Linked DNA regions of Coturnix japonica. The protein of the gene in region 2 interacts with the protein of the main gene of each other region in a biochemical or structural test. Links are inferred from orthologs where the notes say so. Each region holds a gene or a part of one and is shown on either strand. Other genes may lie near its edges.

What was found.
Region 1: the proteins of PDZK1 (region 2) and CYSLTR2 interact in a test that uses a peptide from one of them, tested with the Homo sapiens proteins (2 studies listed by IntAct, with this or other methods). The link is inferred for Coturnix japonica from reciprocal best matches to the Homo sapiens genes PDZK1 and CYSLTR2.
Region 3: the proteins of PDZK1 (region 2) and SLC15A5 interact in a test that uses a peptide from one of them, tested with the Homo sapiens proteins (2 studies listed by IntAct, with this or other methods). The link is inferred for Coturnix japonica from reciprocal best matches to the Homo sapiens genes PDZK1 and SLC15A5.
Region 4: the proteins of PDZK1 (region 2) and RPS6KA1 interact in a test that uses a peptide from one of them, tested with the Homo sapiens proteins (2 studies listed by BioGRID and IntAct). The link is inferred for Coturnix japonica from reciprocal best matches to the Homo sapiens genes PDZK1 and RPS6KA1.

Annotation. Positions count from the first base shown.
Region 1 is NC_029516.1:151,145,348-151,149,432, forward strand, and holds the start of CYSLTR2 (cysteinyl leukotriene receptor 2), read left to right. Parts: upstream 1-1,285; 5' UTR 1,286-1,613; intron 1,614-1,728; 5' UTR 1,729-1,803; intron 1,804-4,085. UniProt on the Homo sapiens protein: Receptor for cysteinyl leukotrienes. The response is mediated via a G-protein that activates a phosphatidylinositol-calcium second messenger system.
Region 2 is NC_029516.1:83,006,521-83,011,398, reverse strand, and holds the start of PDZK1 (Na(+)/H(+) exchange regulatory cofactor NHE-RF3), read left to right. Parts: upstream 1-1,662; 5' UTR 1,663-1,842; intron 1,843-4,157; 5' UTR 4,158-4,159; coding exon 4,160-4,369; intron 4,370-4,676; coding exon 4,677-4,878. UniProt on the Homo sapiens protein: A scaffold protein that connects plasma membrane proteins and regulatory components, regulating their surface expression in epithelial cells apical domains.
Region 3 is NC_029516.1:57,904,811-57,908,789, reverse strand, and holds the start of SLC15A5 (solute carrier family 15 member 5), read left to right. Parts: upstream 1-1,179; 5' UTR 1,180-1,319; intron 1,320-2,967; exon of another isoform or gene 2,968-3,096; 5' UTR 3,097-3,117; coding exon 3,118-3,484; intron 3,485-3,979. UniProt on the Homo sapiens protein: Proton oligopeptide cotransporter.
Region 4 is NC_029538.1:170,207-174,231, forward strand, and holds the start of RPS6KA1 (ribosomal protein S6 kinase alpha-1), read right to left. Parts: upstream 2,801-4,025; 5' UTR 2,716-2,800; coding exon 2,653-2,715; intron 1-2,652. UniProt on the Homo sapiens protein: Serine/threonine-protein kinase that acts downstream of ERK (MAPK1/ERK2 and MAPK3/ERK1) signaling and mediates mitogenic and stress-induced activation of the transcription factors CREB1, ETV1/ER81 and NR4A1/NUR77, regulates translation through RPS6 and EIF4B phosphorylation, and mediates cellular proliferation, survival, and differentiation by modulating mTOR signaling and repressing pro-apoptotic function of BAD and DAPK1.

The sequences.
Region 1 (4,085 bases), about 68 Mb from region 2:
GGCTCTGACACTGAAAGCTGTCCTTCAAGCCACTTGTGGGATCATTTCCTACTCTGCTTCAATCCAAAGGGAATGAGCTGAGACCTCCTGTTTCAGGTGTCTGGGGTGAATATCTCCAAGGCTAAATAGGGTTTGAGAGCACACATTTGAGCAACTTTGCTGGCAGACTTTGGACTGGGACAGTAAGCAAAGCAACTGGAAGAGGACAACTATGCAAGGCCCTCAGTGCAACGAGAGCAGGCAAGGTCTGAAGTTACTAGTCTAGTTCCTTTATAAGCTGGTTTTCCATGTCCTCCTTCAGGTCTATGCTTTAAAAAGCTTATAGCACTGCTTACAAGCTGTATGTACCTCCTCCCTGGTGCAGGGATCTGTGAGCTCTGGTGACACTCACCTACACAGCCACTGCCTGCTGCAACTCCAGCCCCACATGGGGAGCAATAGGGCTATTACACCTCTTTGGTAGTCCATGTATACAGCTAAAGTGAAGAGCACTAGCAATAAATGACAGTGAAGTGCAGGTGGCCAACAGAGGGGAGATTACAAACAGGATTGTCCAAAGCAATTTGGGATGTAAACGACTGTAAGTGTAGGTGGTGAGGTTTGCTGGGAGACTCTCCAGCTACTGAACTGTAGTACATAGCAGGATTCCTGACCTACTGCCAGCTATCACAGCACAGCTGAGGCTGGCAGGGCCCTCTGGGTCCCTCTGCTCCAGCCCCTGCCCCAGCAGGGACACCCAGAGCAGGGTGCCTAGGGCTGCATTCACGCAGATCTGGAAGATCCCCAAGGAGGAGATCCCACATCACTGGGCAGCCTGTGCCAGTGCTCTGTCACTGCACAGCACAGAGGTATTTCCTGATGTTTATGAAATGAAACACAGCACCTAGAGATACATCTGGTCCTCCCGTGTGTGTTGACAGAACAGAAGAATAAACAGTTACATCTGCCGTGTGTATAGAACCCTATTTCACAACTGCAGTAAACTAGGAGCACTCATCTGTGCCATCTGTGTTTGGATGTGGTGCTCAGGGACATGATTTAGTGGAGGGTTGTTAGAGTTAGGGTAGTATGGTCAGGTTGTGTTTGGACTTGATGATCTTAAGGTCTCTTCCAACCTGAGCAATTCTATGATTCTATGATCCTGTGATCACTGTTGCAGTAAGGCGTTCACTGCAGCTTCTTGTTATGGCCTAAAATAGCAACGTATTTACTCCCTATCAGCGGTCAAAAAAAAAAAAAGCAGTCCCTTGGCTCCACAAACTCATCCTTGAATTGCTTGTGCTGAATATGGTTACTCATTAACCCCTAGAAGCATGCTTATGGTTTCACTCATTTCTGCACGAGAAGCCTGGGAAATAATGCTTCGTAATTCCACAGACTCCAATTACAGTGATCCATGTGAATGACATACGGGAACCTATCCTAAGAAATCAAGCAATGCCAGTTACTGAGAGTGCAGATATTTAAGTGCGGCCCAAACACAGGAATCCAGACAGTTTCCAGATGCTACATTAGCTGCAGGGCCCTTTTTGTTGGGCCAAAGCGCATGCGACACTGCCGTGCGATTGCTAGCAGCCCTCCTTGAGCTGAGAACATTTCTCTCTTAAGAAAACGTAAGATCTACTAATCAGGACCTACTTCCTTTTCTTACTACTGTTTGCTCTTGTGTGGCTTCTGCGTAAACAGCATTCGGGTTTTGCTTCAAGTTTTTGTGCTTCTGATTTCCAGCAACAAAACTGAAAGTGGTAAGCAACAGTGGGCAGAAGAAGGAGACCGAGCACACCAGAAGGCACACCAGCTGAGGTAAGACAAGGCTTGCCTGCTTTTTCTGACATAGATAGAATAGCTGCAGTGAAGAAAATACAATCTGCTTATATATTGCTTGCGGTAAGCTTTGCATATGATAGAAGCTGTGATCGTTAACTAAATTTCTCTATGACAAAGTTGGGCTTGAGAATTTTCTTTGGCAGAAAGGGTGGATTTATGTAACTTGCAGTGCTTCCAGATGGAAGATGACAGTCAAGTAGTGGGTCTGATTAAGTGAGTGCTGGCTTTTAACGAGATGACAAAAATATGTGGTCAATGGCAAACTTAAAATTAAAGAGGCTAGGAGTTAGAGTCTGAATTTATTTATCTGTAATATTGTGCATGCAGCGAGGTTAATAAAGCACTGCATGTTTTGGTGGATGTAATTCACTGTTAATTCCAAATACTGCATTCTGCTACATTTATTCTTGGTAACGCTACTCCTTAAAACACAACACGAAGACAGCAGAAGGAAAGCTAATGGGAACTTTGAGACATGTCAAAACTTTTGGTTTTCTCGAGATACAGAGGCAGATGCAAGCAATCCCAAACATAGCAGCAATGCCATGACTGCCTTAATATTATGAGTATGGGATTGTTGTGGCAGAAGCCTTCTTCTGACAGAGGACTGTTGTGATAGATGCACGGAGCACCTCCTTTTCCTGACATACAAACGGATCAATATATTTAATCTCTTAGGGCAAAAAAGACATGTATTTTGAATGAACATTCTGATACCTTTATTTATCACTGCATGTGCAGAACACCTCACCGAAAATATGTTCTCTGTGTTATAGAGATCTCAGGGTTTCAAAGTAGCGGATGTGAGAAACTTCTCAGTCTGGAAATGGAGAGTTTCCCTTTTACACTTTTAGCAGCAGCCTCTTCCAGCTCACCTCCCCCAGTGAGAGGAGATGACACAGAAAACAGCCCTCTTCTATCTGCCTGACCATAGACTCCCAACAGCCCTGATGAGCACCCCATGTGGGAACACATCAGTAGTGGTACATTCACACTATCCACCTCCTTCAGGAACCTGTAAAGCTTGACTGCATGTCTATCCTGTCTATGCTGAATTTACCCATACTTTTGAGTCCTTGCTCCGTCACCTTGCTGATTTCACTCACCCCTCTCTGCCTCTTCCCTAACTCTATAATGTCTTTTTTTGGGGGGTGCAGAGAGCAGAACTGCATGGCACATTCACTGGGGGAATGCAGGAAGGTTTTATACAAGGTGATTTTATACCAGCTGACCCAGACTTCTTGGTGATGTGACTCATTTTCTTGAAATTCTTGTTGCTTCCGCTGCAGCTTATGCAGAAATGACTTTGGCAAACAGTCGATGATGGGTCTATCACTGATGCCAAATGCCCTTTCCTCACAGTAACAGTTTCAAGTTCTGTATCATGTAAGCATGGTTTAGGTTATTTGCTCCAGCATTTATCACCTTCTACTAAAATGCTCATCTGCCAGCTTTCCAGCATGGCATCAATGAATGTCAGTGGGTGTAATTTTTTCCTCATGGAAGAGCTCTGTGACACTCCTTTGCTTCAAACACACGTCCTTGTCAGACACCATTTTGTCAGATTGTCCCTCTGATGCCATCTGCCAACAAAATGTAACAGGATGTTGTTGGGTAGGTTCCACATCTACTGCCATACCATTGCCTTCTGACTCTAATGTCATGGGCCAAAACAGTAAAACAGGAGGCATTACTTTTGGAGCAGCTCTCATATATATGGAAATCGGTCTTGGGGGTCAGTAGGCTCCCAGGCATCAGGACTGCTGACTCACAGCCCCCAGGCTTCTCTCCCACGCTGTTCTTGTAGATGAAGAGCTGCCCTAGTGATGCAGTGGTCCCCTGGAATGGCACATGATTATAATGGTGGGTTATGTGCCTTGGACAGCAGTCCAAGTCTGAGAGCCTTTGGGGTACTCATACAAATGTCATCTGGTCCTGATTACTTATTGGCCTCTCATCTGTCTATTCAGTTTGATATTTCCTACACATGTATGTCCAGTGCATCCAGCTCCTCCAACCTTACAGAAGTTTTGTTGAATCCTCTGTGATTTGGTTGTTGCTGTTGTGTGGTTTTGGTTTTGTGTGGTTTCTTTTGATTGTTTGTTTGTTGTTTTTACTGTTTTCCTATTCCCTCTAAAATGATGTCGATTTCTTGGTCCTGGGACTGCTCCTCTCTCCCACAACACTGACACTGTGAGTCCTATCATGATTGCTGGTACAGTGCTCCCTCCCTCCCTCCTGCCAGAACTGGGGCCTGT
Region 2 (4,878 bases):
GTATTATTTCTAATAATCCAATTCCACAGCAAGCTAATGAAGGGGATCAGTCTCTTTAAAGCTTTCCGGAACTGAAAGAGACTTTGTAGCAAGAACTTCATGCTATCATTTCACTAAGTATCTTGGCATACCAAGATCTCCAATTCAGAGGCTTTCCCCAATTCAGAAATGCCATCAGTTCAGTCAGCAGATGCTTATGTCTAGTAGACGTGTTCAGTGGGTTTGACCTCACTCTGCAGCCAAACAACCATCCTGTCTCTTCCCTGTAGGAAGGTGGAGAAAACAGAAGGCAAGACTTTGGAGCTGAGACAGTGACAGTTTAGTGTACAGAAAATATTGTACATGTATAGAACATGAAAAGAGGGATTAATTCATTCACTACCTTACATCAGCAGGCTACTTACTGGGAGGCAAAAAGCTTAACAGTTGTTTTGGAAGACAAACACCACAATCAAAGGTGTCACCCCATTCCTCCTCCTTTCTGCATGACTTAATGCTGAGCATGATGCCAAATGGCACAGAATATCCCTTCAGTCTGTCTGGGTCAGCTGTCTCTGGTCTGTTCTTCCCCAACATCTTGTTCACATCCACTCTACTCACCTGGGGGCAGGAGAAGAGGGATGGAGAGACAGTCTTGGTAGTTCGCACACTGTTCAATGACAGCCAAATCCCTGGTGTGATTTGTTTCAGACACAAATGCAAACAACAGCACTGCACAGGCTGCCACGAGGAAAGTTAGCTCTGTCCCAGGCAGACTCAGTATAACCTTATCCCCTTATTCCATATCATTTGCGCCATTCTTAGGTTCCATGTTATCTAATGCATCTAAATACCCGCTGGACTTTTGTCCCATTCATCAAGGCCATCACTCAGGACAGGGGGAGCAGAATGTTGGATCACTGGGCACCAACACCAGCTTGAGGTGGGTCATTGTATTCACATACTTCCATGTGAAACTCACTCCCTTTTAGTTCAGGTGGTTTCTGCTGTATTACTTCCTGTATTGTACAAGTCAAATTGTGCAACGTATAGATCTCTTTGAGGTACATAACAAATTTGCTCATCCTTCCACACTGACCACCAATTACACTTTGATCTTTGAGCAAAGACAATTCTGCAAGTGGGTCATCCCTTTCCAAAAAGAAACTGTCTTTCTCAACAACTTCCCTACATGCACTGTAGGGACTTTGTGTCCTTTCATTGATTGCAATGCATGTTTCACATCTGCAGGTGGCCTGTGGGATGTTCTCAATCATCAGGTCTACCCCTCAATCACAACCACTTGGCACATTGCATCTCTCCCAATTACTGTCATTATTTCAGATTCCTCACACTTCCACAAGCCATCCAGCTGAGGAGGGGAATGAGAGAATAGATAGGTGGGCATCTAACTGCTGGCCAAGATTAACCCATCACAACCCTATGTTTGGCACCCTACATGGAGTGCACGGGTTTGAATTGGGAACCTCTCGATCTGCAATCAAACACTAACTAGTCATCGTCAGCACATGACAATCCAAACACATTCCTTTAGGACACTACTTATAGCTGAAGAAGGTTCTTGCACAGAGCAAAGATCACCTTCTTGACTGAGTTTTTTTGAGTATAATTATCAGTAGAACAGAATTCAAAGCTGATGAGGAATACATGTGATCTGCACTTCTGCAGGCAAGGACAAGGCAGCTTATCAAGGCATCGAGCATATTCAGTGAAACTTGGTTAAATAAATCATCTTTTAAATCAACCTTTGCCCAATCAAAGTCCAGTCCTACCTATAGGTACAGCTACAGGAGGGACAGCAAGAGAGGATTCCTGCAAAGGCTGCTTCACACAGATATACAGGTAAGTTATTCCTTTTTTTTGCTATATAAAACTGTGTTTTAGGAGTCTGATAATCTTGCATATAAAGTTTTCATGAAGTGAAAAGTTGTTTGCAGCCCACTATGGTCTTCCCTCCATTTCTACATATGAAGAGATAATCTGTCCTGTAAAAGCTTACTGTTCCTTCAGCTTTGTTTACTGCTGGTTTTCTGTAAACATCAGGAGTTAACCAAATTTCCCAGTGTTTGTCGAGAAAAGCTGCTCCGAGTTCTAGTTGAGATCAGTACAATGTCTAAACAATAGTGCAGGACATCCCTATGTGAAGTTATTCTTGATGCCACTATACTTAGACTCCAAAAACCACTAAGTACCTCACCAACGGGAATAAGAAACTCAGAACCCACAGCCTGCCTATCCATACATGCTGAAATGTTCCATCTTCTCCAGCTTCAGTGACATCCCTGCCAACTCCCCACTCCTCACCCATACTTTTCTATAAGCTGACTAACTAACCTTAACAACACAGTTTTAGCTTCCATAACAAATACTCTATATTTTCATGAGTAGCCAGATGTACTTCAGCAGTAGGCTGCTATCAAGAACGTGGAGAGATTTGACCACTGGCTACTTCTAAAAACAAGTAAAAGAAAAGGTCAGTTTTCACACACATAAGTTACGTGAGTGATATACAGAAACAGAAAAAAGAAAGAACTGTAAAGAGTTCATGCAGGCAGATGAAATTTTTTAGTATTTATTAGGCTGAGACTAATGGCCAACCTCTGCAACAGATCTTTGGGCTTTTCACAAACTTCTAACAGGAGCGAGAAAAAAAAACAATCAATCCAGTAAGACACACATCAAGTGTGGTAATTACCTGGATGGAGAAAGTTGCCATCATTTATCTTATTTCTTATGTCATAGTGGATCTTTGGCAGGAGTTCCTAAGACAACAAGATAGCGAACTTTGGAATTGCTCCTTGATCATAACTACTGCTTACTTTCTGAACATAATGTCTCTCTTACTGATAATGAGCTACACGAGACAATTTCATTGTATCATAAAAATATAGAATATTTTAGCTTGGAAGGAACTTCTGGAGCTCATCTGGTCCAATAGCTCATGCTAAACCAAGCCAACTTAGACCAAGTTTATCAGGGTCTCATCCAGGTAAGCACCTCCAAGGATGGAGATTCCACAGCCACTCTAGGTTCTTGTTCAAGTATCTGAAAGCACCAGAGATTAAAAAGCTGACCTTACCTCTCTCTAATTAGACTTCCCCTCACTGCGACCAGTATCTGTTGCCTCTCATCAGTATTAACATCCAAGAATAATAAGGATCTGTGTTTTCTACACCATCCGATTAGGCACTTGAAAATGCAAATAAGAACTTTCATTTACTTTCTTTTCCCAAGACTGAACAAACTCAGCTCTCTCAAACCCTCTTCAAACAAGTTGCGCTCCAAAACCTAACCCACCCCAGTGGATTAGTTTCAGTATGTCAGTGACACAGAGAGCTCAAAACAGCAGTCACGCATAGCCTTACAAGTGCCAAACAGCAGGGAACAATCCCTTCATTGACTTGCTAGATACATTCAGATATAGCCCACTATCCAGTTGATCTTCACTGCAAAGCTACACCAACTGATGTGAAGTTTTGCAGGACAACACGTAAGTGCACAAACTGACCAGCCAGCCTGTGCTGTCGTTATGCATGGTTTAGATATAGATTTTTTTCCACTTTTCTCTGTTAAATGTTTCGATATTTCTGACAGCTCCTCTCTCCAGCCTGTTGAGGTCTCTCTAAATAGCATCCCTAACCACCATCCTATTGACTGCTCCCCTCTGTTTAATATTATCCATCACGTTTGTTGAGGATATATTCTGCTGCACTGACCATGTCATAAATAAAAATGTTAAACAGTATCTATCAGTACCAGTACCAACCCTAAACATTGTCAATAAAAAGCAGCCAACAGCTGGATTAAGTGCCACCAATAAAAACCCTCTGAACCTAATGGCTCAGCCAATCTTCTGCCCACCTACAGAATCTGCTTATTCAGTCCATATGTCAACAAGTCATCCACACTTACTGTACAAGAGACCCTCTCAAAGGTATTGCAATAGTTAAAGAGTACATCGTTCATCGTTCTATGCCTGTCACAGAGCCAGTCCATTCATCTTGGAGTTAGCAGGTAAAAAGGATTCATTTAATCTCCCTTTGCACAGCTGGATTTCCCAGGAACCCAAACCTTAAGGATTCTGAAGCAAACTGTCTCAGCTTGCTTTTTTTTTTTTTTTTTAAACTCACAATTAGTTTTTCCATCCTGTTTCGTAGAGATGACTTCTGTTCTCCAGCCACGAGAGTGCAAAGTGACCAAGAAAAGCAAGAAGAGCTATGGATTTTTCCTGCGTGTGGAGAAAGACACAGCAGGACATCTCATCCGGAATGTGGAAAAGAACAGCCCTGCTGAAAAGGCTGGCTTGAAGGATGGAGACAGAGTCCTCAGGGTTAATGGTGTGTTTGTAGACAAGGAGGAACATGCAAAGGTACAAATCTGTTTAGTCTGGAGGCTACATCACCTCCCATGATCCAGACCCGCTGTCACTATTGGAAGCTTTCTCTTCCATTTCTATGGTGGAAAAGTCCGAGAGCTGAGTCAACAGCTCTGGATACCTCTCTGCATCATTTATTATCCATCATGGGTAGGAAATGTTTTTGAGGTGCCTCCATAGTGCATCAGCAGAAGGATGTGACAACAAAACCAATAGAGAGTTTAATCCTTCCTGGAGAAAGCTTTTAGGTCAATCACTCTGCTTGAGCAATTCACCTTTGATTTCACCTTGTCCATTACAGGTGGTGGAGATTGTGAAGAACAGTGGAAATTCTGTTGTATTTCTTGTTCTGGATGAAGCATCTTATAAAAAGGCAGAAAAGGAGGGAGCGAATCTGGAAGAGTTGGGTCAAAAGGTGTCAAAAGGAAAGAAGGAGAAAAAGGAGGAGAAGCAGTCCACACTGCCCATGGCTAATGGAGCAATCACTGCCGTTCCACAACCAC
Region 3 (3,979 bases), about 25 Mb from region 2:
ATACAACTATTCTCTACATTAAATCTTTCAGATTGGTCTTGCCCTTTCACAGACAAAAGCTGCTGCAGAACAAGTTAGCGACTATCTGTCCTACAGCAATGCAGAACTGAGCTAGGGTTCTCAGTTGCCTCCAGTTCAAGTGTGGAAAAGAATTACCTGAATGCTTAGTGAAGGAAAAAATTATCCAGACATGATGTGATGGATACCATAGATGCAGAAGGTCTGAGATAATTTTTTATATATTCAAAAATGTTAATAACTGATTATTTCATTGATGCTTTTTTCCAGCCATCGAAGTGTACTTATATGGTGTGCAACAGATCTTTATAAAACACAGTAGAGTTTTATTAGATTTGCTAACCTAACAGATTTCACAAACAAAACTTCTTAGCTTCATTCCTGATGACTGCATTTCACCATCTTAATTGATCTTTTACATTATTTACAGAGTACTTAGGTTTTGTTTGTATTTGTTCTTCTGGTATGTAGTCAAACATGCAGGCAAATGTTATCCTGCATTTTTAGTGATGCTCACAAAGTTCTTCAGAAGAGCCAGATACGGGCTTCAAATGCTGTGAACTACAAGACAAAACAAGACCATCTTAACCTATAATTGATTCCAGTTCATGTCAGTTCTGACTGAATTCTGTTTGCACAGAAATCTCTGAAATAGTTGTCTAAAGTAAGACTTTAAACAGAAATTGTTTCATAATCCTCCCCAGGAAAAACAATATTGTTCAAATTGATTGAAACATATGAAGGAAAGAAAAAGGGAAAGGAACAAAAGAAACTAAAAAACAAAAAACTCAGAAAAAGACAAAGGCAGTTTATACTGAAATTAAACCTACATTTTGAATTCTTGCTCTGTTTAGTTTTACTACCTTTTTTATTAAGAACAAGCTAAGAGAATACTAGGTGATTCAAGGAGAACTCAATTAAAACCATGTCATGGAATTCCCTCATATCTGCTGCAGATGTGATTAAATAATTAGATCAAGAAAGACCACAGTGTTTTCACTGAGGACATCATTAACTCATTTACTAATTATTACCTTTGACTATCAGGATCACCACACCCTCAGTGGCCACATGCAAAGGCAATTCAGAATAAACAATAATGAAAACGATCACCACTGCCTCCTTTCAATGGCATATATAAAGCTCAGCCAATTATTTCCTTTCCCTCATTTGTTATCTAGTGATAGAGTAAATAAAACTATGTGAAGACTATGATACTGATATTTTAGTTAGAAACAGCAAGGTTACAAGTAGTTTCCATGATATGATTCACATTGAATTATTAGCACCCATGCAAACAGGTAAACTTTGCACTTTTAAAGACAAAGTAGCTTGTAGAAAACCAGGCTATTTTATACTGAAGTGTCCCTAGTAGTAAGAGTGTGGTTATCTGGTATTTTCTATCTGATACTAATATTATCTTAAAGGTTGTATTTTCTAAACAAAGCAAAAGTAAGGTAATAACATTTTCTGTTTGAACAGTTAAATGAGAGTATCTTTGTTCAATGGAAGATATATATGCCTTTTGGTCTAAAAGCATTTACTGTTTGTTCTTGGATTTGGTTTCATTAGGCTTTAGTGAGGTTGGTTGAGTTACAGGTGAGTTCTAGGTTGGATTTATCTGCTGGGTTTGTCCAAATGAAAGTCTTCATAGCTACTGTAGGTGAAAAGAGAAGTAGTTATTTTTTTCTTATGTTATTTATGTTATGTGTCTTGGCTATTTTCATCCTCATTTGGACATCTCTGGCTAAGATTTATTCATTGTTACAATTCTGGTTTTCAGGTTTTTACTAGTTTTAAAAAACATGTATTATAAAATTATTTTAGGGAACAGTGTTTTGCTATGTAGAACCAAGTTTTTCTAGGCTTTGTGTTTAGGTCGGATGCTTTAGAAACAAGACAAGGAAGCAAACTAGAATTTGGAAATAGCATTCAAAGATTTTATTTGGCAGTGGTCTTGGAATCTATCAGTACTGGTTATATACTATTGTGCATCAGTTTGGTGATGTAGGAGTCTTAATAGGTATGAGAAGATAAACTGTAAGTAGTTATATAGACAGATATAAAAATACAGCACAAAAAATGCTGAGACATTGAGGGATCATCTTAAAGAAGTATACCTGACTTACCACTGCTTTGCTACATGCCTGTGCATTTTGTTTGTCTGAAGTACTTCTCATACCTCTTTAGAAGAGTTTCAAAGAGGTGATAGTTAACTTAATGAGCTCTGTGAAATAAAGAAACTGATTTGGGAAATCTGTAAACTTTTCTGTGAATGAGAGGCATAGGGAGCATTATAAAGCACCATAACTTTGGTTCATCAGAACTATTATTTAAGCTAGTGATTGCTTTTACTGGGGAGAGAAATTGTATGAGCTCTTGTCCTGTACAATGTATTGTTACACAATAACTGGTTAGAGAAGCAGTTTTGGTTTATGTTGTTTTCAGATAGCTTTTACTCTTTGCTAATGCATCCAACTTATTTCCTTTTAAAATTTGCTTCTCCAATGTAAATGTAGTAGCATTACTTATTTTTACAATTAACTTATCTGAATTCAGCTAAATATAACAAATCTAATAAATTACTGTTAATGTTTTTTTTTTAAAGAAAAACTCTTGGCTTGCAGTTTTCCAACTCTTGCCTATTTAAAGCTCCAGGTTATTATATCTAAATTATTTTCTTGATTTATTATTTGAATTCTGCTGTAGACGTTGGCTTTCCTGTGTATTTAAACCTTTACCTTTAACATACAAATAGAGTTGTATGTACTGTACTGGACTCAAGTAATTAACAGATAACATAATTTGGGAGAAAAAAGTCTTTTTTGTATATAAATGGATTAATTAAATAGACCATGTTCCTGAATGTTGCTAAGTTCAAAAGTTGAATTGTTGGTATGTCTCTGATTAATTTATTTATTGGAAACTCTTTGATCCTACATGTAATAGCACAAAAGTGACTGGTGCCTACGAAATTGTAGTGGTAAAGTGTGGAATTCAAAGCGAGAGTCTTACCAGTTTGCTAATTACAGTGGAGGAGAACAGAAGTTTACCTTTAACTTAAGCTGTCTTCCTGAGTCCTAGTCAAAGAAGTCAAGCATGCCTGGTGCAGGCAGTGGTGACATTCAAGAGAAGCAGCTTATGACTGATACTGAAAAGGAGAAAAACCTGCTACCTGGTAGAAGAAACCATGCTGGAAACCTGACTCTGCCTGAGAAGAAAGTCCAGGAGGCTATCTGTGTGCTGCTGGTGGAGCTGTGTGAGAGGTTCACATTCTTTGGCATTGTCTGCAATATGATCCTCTTCTGCACTGTCAGACTTGGCTATCGCAACTACCAGGCTGCCATTGTCAATATGTGCTTTGTGGGCACCTCCATGCTGACACCAGTGCTGGCTGGCTGGCTCGCTGAGTGCCTTGTGGGGCGGATCAAGCTAGTGTGCATCTGCATGTTTCTACACTTCCTAGGTAGGTGACACTCAGATGTCCTTTAATGCTATAGTACTTCTGTTATAGAAATGCATTGTTGAACACTGTTTGAAATTCAGTAACTTTCTCCAAGCTCATGGCCAGTTTTGCTCATAACAAATCATTTTTCCTCTACAAAACATTTTGTAGTTTTCTGCCTATGTATTTTTGTATGTATTTTGTAATACGTAGAGCAAGACCAAGAAGCATTTTCATGTGCATCTTATGGATTAGCAGCTATGTGGTCTTCTCTAAACTGGCTTAGCTCTTAAGAATGCAGTTGCTCAGCTATTTCTTAGACTTGGTCCCTTTAACATGCATTTGTTGTTGCTAGTGTTTAGGGCACATGTGATGTTTTAGACAGAGTTTGATAAAGAGAGTGGAGATAACTTCCCAGCTGTTGGTAGCATGTGAAGACATGACTGTTGTAGCTGAATAACTGGGAAAGATGCACTTAAGAACACACCAGTATAGACAAACATTGCAATGAGTAGG
Region 4 (4,025 bases), on a different chromosome or scaffold from region 2:
TTTAAATCCCTTTAATTCCACCTAATCTGAAGCATGTGGAGGAGCAATTTACAGAACAGGGAACCGCTGCTCTGATACGTAAGGAGGACAAATGTCAGGACGGGCAGCACCATGCGGGCTGTGCGCTTCTCTCAGTGCTGCCAACACACATCACCCCATGGCACAGGGGAAAGGACAGAACTCTGCAAAAACAACCATCTCCAGCTCTTCCCTCCAGAGTTCCCCACGCAAGAGGAGACAGTGCTCAAAGTGTATCATGGACAGAAACCTCTCTGCTTCCTCCCCTTTGATCATCACTGTCTTCACTTTTAAGCTGAAATGCACACAGAGAAAGACAGTTACTCCTGAATAGCTTCTGCTCAACAAGGGATGAGCAGATGCACACACACAGGCCAAAATAATTAGCTTGGAGTGGTTGGGTTTGTCGTAATCTCATGTCATCTGTGTTGCTCTGTGTTTGTGTATGACAACAAGAGTTTAAAGGCATGCACAGCCATGATGGCAGCTCCCATCACTATGGCAATGCAGTCATTCAGCTCTGCTCCATCTCTAGTGCTCTGCCCCACACAGGTTTTTCTACCACATAAGCAACATTCCAAATAGGCAGAAAAAAATAGAGCAGGGAATAAAAATAAAAGAACTGGAATAAATGAAATCATAGAATGAAATCATAGAATGGCCTGGGTAGAAAAGGACCACAATGCTCATCCAGCTCCAACCCCCTGCTGTGTGCAGGGTCACCAACCAGCAGCCCAGGCTGCCCAGAGCCACATCCAGCCTGGCCTTGAATGCCTGAAGAGATGGGGCATCCACAGCCTCCTTGGGCAACATGTTCCAGTGTGTCACCACCCTCTTGGGGAAAAACTTCCTCCTAAGATCCAACCTAAATCTCCCGTCTTAGTTTAAAACCATTCCTCCTTGTCCTATCACTGTCCACCCTTGTAAACAGAAGGAAGCATGATGAAGCGAGCTCAGTCCACAGGACAGCTCACCCTCCCACTGCTTCCTCAGCACAGCTCTGAGACAGTGGGTGCTGGCTGTGACCAGCTCAGCAGCTGCTCCTGGGGAGCAGTGGAAAAACCCCCTGACACAATGAGTTGGGTGCCTCCGCAGCACAGTGCCAGCACCTCTGCTCCGTGACTCAGAAAGCAAAGGTTGGAGGAAGCTGGCTTTACACCTCGATGGCAGCGATCCCAGGCGATTTACGTAACGCATTCCAGAAAAGTCTCTTTGGTTTCTCTCTTTGGTGCCACCTTGCCCTACAGAAGGTGAACCTTCCTGCCCCTGGCAAACAGAACCTCACTGCGTGCAAAACTCCACCAAGTCCTTCTCTGCCATTCACAGATTGTCGGCTCCAGGTGCCTGCAGCAGCGCCCAGAGGTGCAGAGTGCCCATGCTACCGAGCACATCGCTCACCTGAAGCCCGAGGGAGCAGAGCTGCTGGTGTCCCACCTGGCACAGTGCTGAGGTGTCAAGTGCCTTCCAGCACCAGCACTCTGCTCCCAGCCCTGCCGCCAACCTCCAGCCCTGCCAAGGAGAGCTGGGAAAGGCAGCCTGCAGCTGCAGTTTACAGAGTACACATCCACAACTAATGCAATGGGGAGAGGAGCCCTCGCTGCTGCCACAATCTTCCTGAGGGACTTTGGCTGATGAATGTGGTGCCCCCGTGGCTGCTTCCAGCCAGGGGAGACGTTTGTGGTGTTGGCACAGCTGCCACCCAGCACCCGAATCCCCAGGATTAAGTGACACACCAATCCTGCCCATGGCATCTATCGCCCCAGGCACCAGCATTAGTTTCCTCCCACTCCAAGTTTGTTTTCCAGACAAATCGCATCCCCCCATCACACCCAGCTTTCCCTGAGCACGTTATGGCCTCAGGACCACGACCCAGTCCCCGAAGGACACAGGCACATCCCCACACCCCAAGCAGAGGTGAGTGCACAGCACGAGGCGCAGCCGCCCACCCCTCACATCTGGCTGTGACAGCTGGGCAACCTGGCCTCCGTTCCCAGCAGAGCTTCCTTAAGAGATAATTTTAAGTAGGAATAAACGAAACTGACCAGTTAACCACTGTGACATCCCTCGGCACGATAGGAGGGGTAAGAGGCAGAAGGTCTAAAACGGGAGAGCGGCAGGGAGCGAGCGAAGCGGGACAAAACCCGCACGAACCCATCCCGAAAGCCGCGAGCTGCAGCCGGGCTGAGGAGCCGTTTGTGCTCACACCTCGGCTGCACCACAGCGAGGAAAAGGTTGCGAGCGGTGCCGACGTGCTGCGGCGGCTGCGGTGCGAAGCGCGGTGCGGGCAGCGCACACCTGGGCTGGGGGGGCTCGTTAAGAGCGAAGCGCACAACATCCAGCGGACAGACGCAGGACGGCGGCTGGGCAGCGCTGAGGCGGGCGGGGGAAGCTCCCAGAGCAGAGCCGTGCTCGCGTTCACAGCTCGTACCGAGGAGCCGAAGGAAAGCAGCGCAGCCGGCAGCTCCCAGCGATCCGCCGCGCTTCCCAACCCCGCGGGGCTCAGTTGGAGCAGCGGGGCAAGAGCGGAGGGAGGGAGGGAAGGAAGGGAGGGAAGGAAGAAAAGGAGCAGGCCGGCCGGGCTCTCCTTTGTTCCGCGAGACCCCTGGGGGTCGCCGCCCGTCTCACCCCGCTCACCTCCGTATCCAGCTGCACCAGCTCCATGTTGGGCCAGGGCTCGGCCAGCTGTGCGAGCGGCATCCTGCCGGCGAGCAGCCCCGCAGGGCGCGGCAACGCTCGGCTCCGTGCCCCGCGCTGGGCACCGGCTGCCCGAGCCGGGCCGGGAGCGGCGGGGCGGGGCGGGGGGCGGCGCGGCTCCTCCCGGCTCCGGGGCGGCTCCGAGCTGGTCTCGGGGAACCGTCGCTCGGCTGCGCTCGCTGCCCTGGGCAGCCCACTGCGGTGCGGAGCCTTTCCTTAAGCCCTTCCTGACCCACCCCCGCCCTGCGCTTTTCCTTCAGGCAGCGACGTGAATGAAGGATCGTGTGTATATCCACGCACACCTTTGGATTCTTCGGTTGGAGATGAGTGGCTGATCGCGGTGCTCTCCTCGAATACGGGTAACGAACCCCTCCCCGCTTTGCCTCGGTGGATGCTCGGAGGAAAGGTACTGTGAGCACAGCTGCTCAGAACACATGCGGCACTGTTTGGGTTTGCCGGGTTTCTCGTGCAGGAGGAGTTGTCTTCTTGCTTTTACTGAAATCCAAAGTACCACGTTTTCAACCTCTTTAAAACGATTTGTTATTAAAAAAACAAAAACAAATAACCACGTCAAAGGGTGCATTGCTAAGGGCTGACTTCATCAAGGTGTGGCTGAAATATCATTTAATGAGCCCAAGGGAAAGCACAGCACACAGCTCTGCTGCTGCACTCTGTCCCGTGAAGCCATCCCTGTGAGGCCCGAATGCCGTGAGCTGATCAGAGGCGGTGAAGGTGAAGAAAGCTGAAGTAGAACAGAGCACAGCAGGCTGAGAAACTCCACTCCATCCTCACAGCTCTCAGAACTGATCTGTGAGCCATTACTAGGCCCATCTTGTTCACACGTGCAGGAATCCGATGTAAGAAATTCCCACGGTGAAAGTATGTGAGCCCAGCACTGCTGTCTGTGCTTGGAGCACCCCTCTGTGCTGCAAGCACTGAGTTGCAGATGAAGGCATTAAATAACACAGATCCACCAGGCTGGTGCTAAATGAGGCCAATTAAACTGATGTCACTTACCGTTGGAGCAAGCTGAAGCAGATCTTGCGGAGAGTTATTCATTCAGCTCCGAAGCTGTCCATAATTTACCCTTATTGTTTGGTACATGGTGTGCCGTTTGCTTGCATCCCTCCTCCAGCTGCTGCAGATTGCAACCTGTTTTAAATGGCATCGATAACACGATGATGTCAGTGCTGGCATCCCGCTTACCTTCTATGTTTGTTTGCAAAATGCAGCTCCTGTTCTGGATTTCCAGCTACTCTGCATGCAAACCAACTGGGAATGCGTAGAGGAGTATGAGGGAGGAGAACAAAATG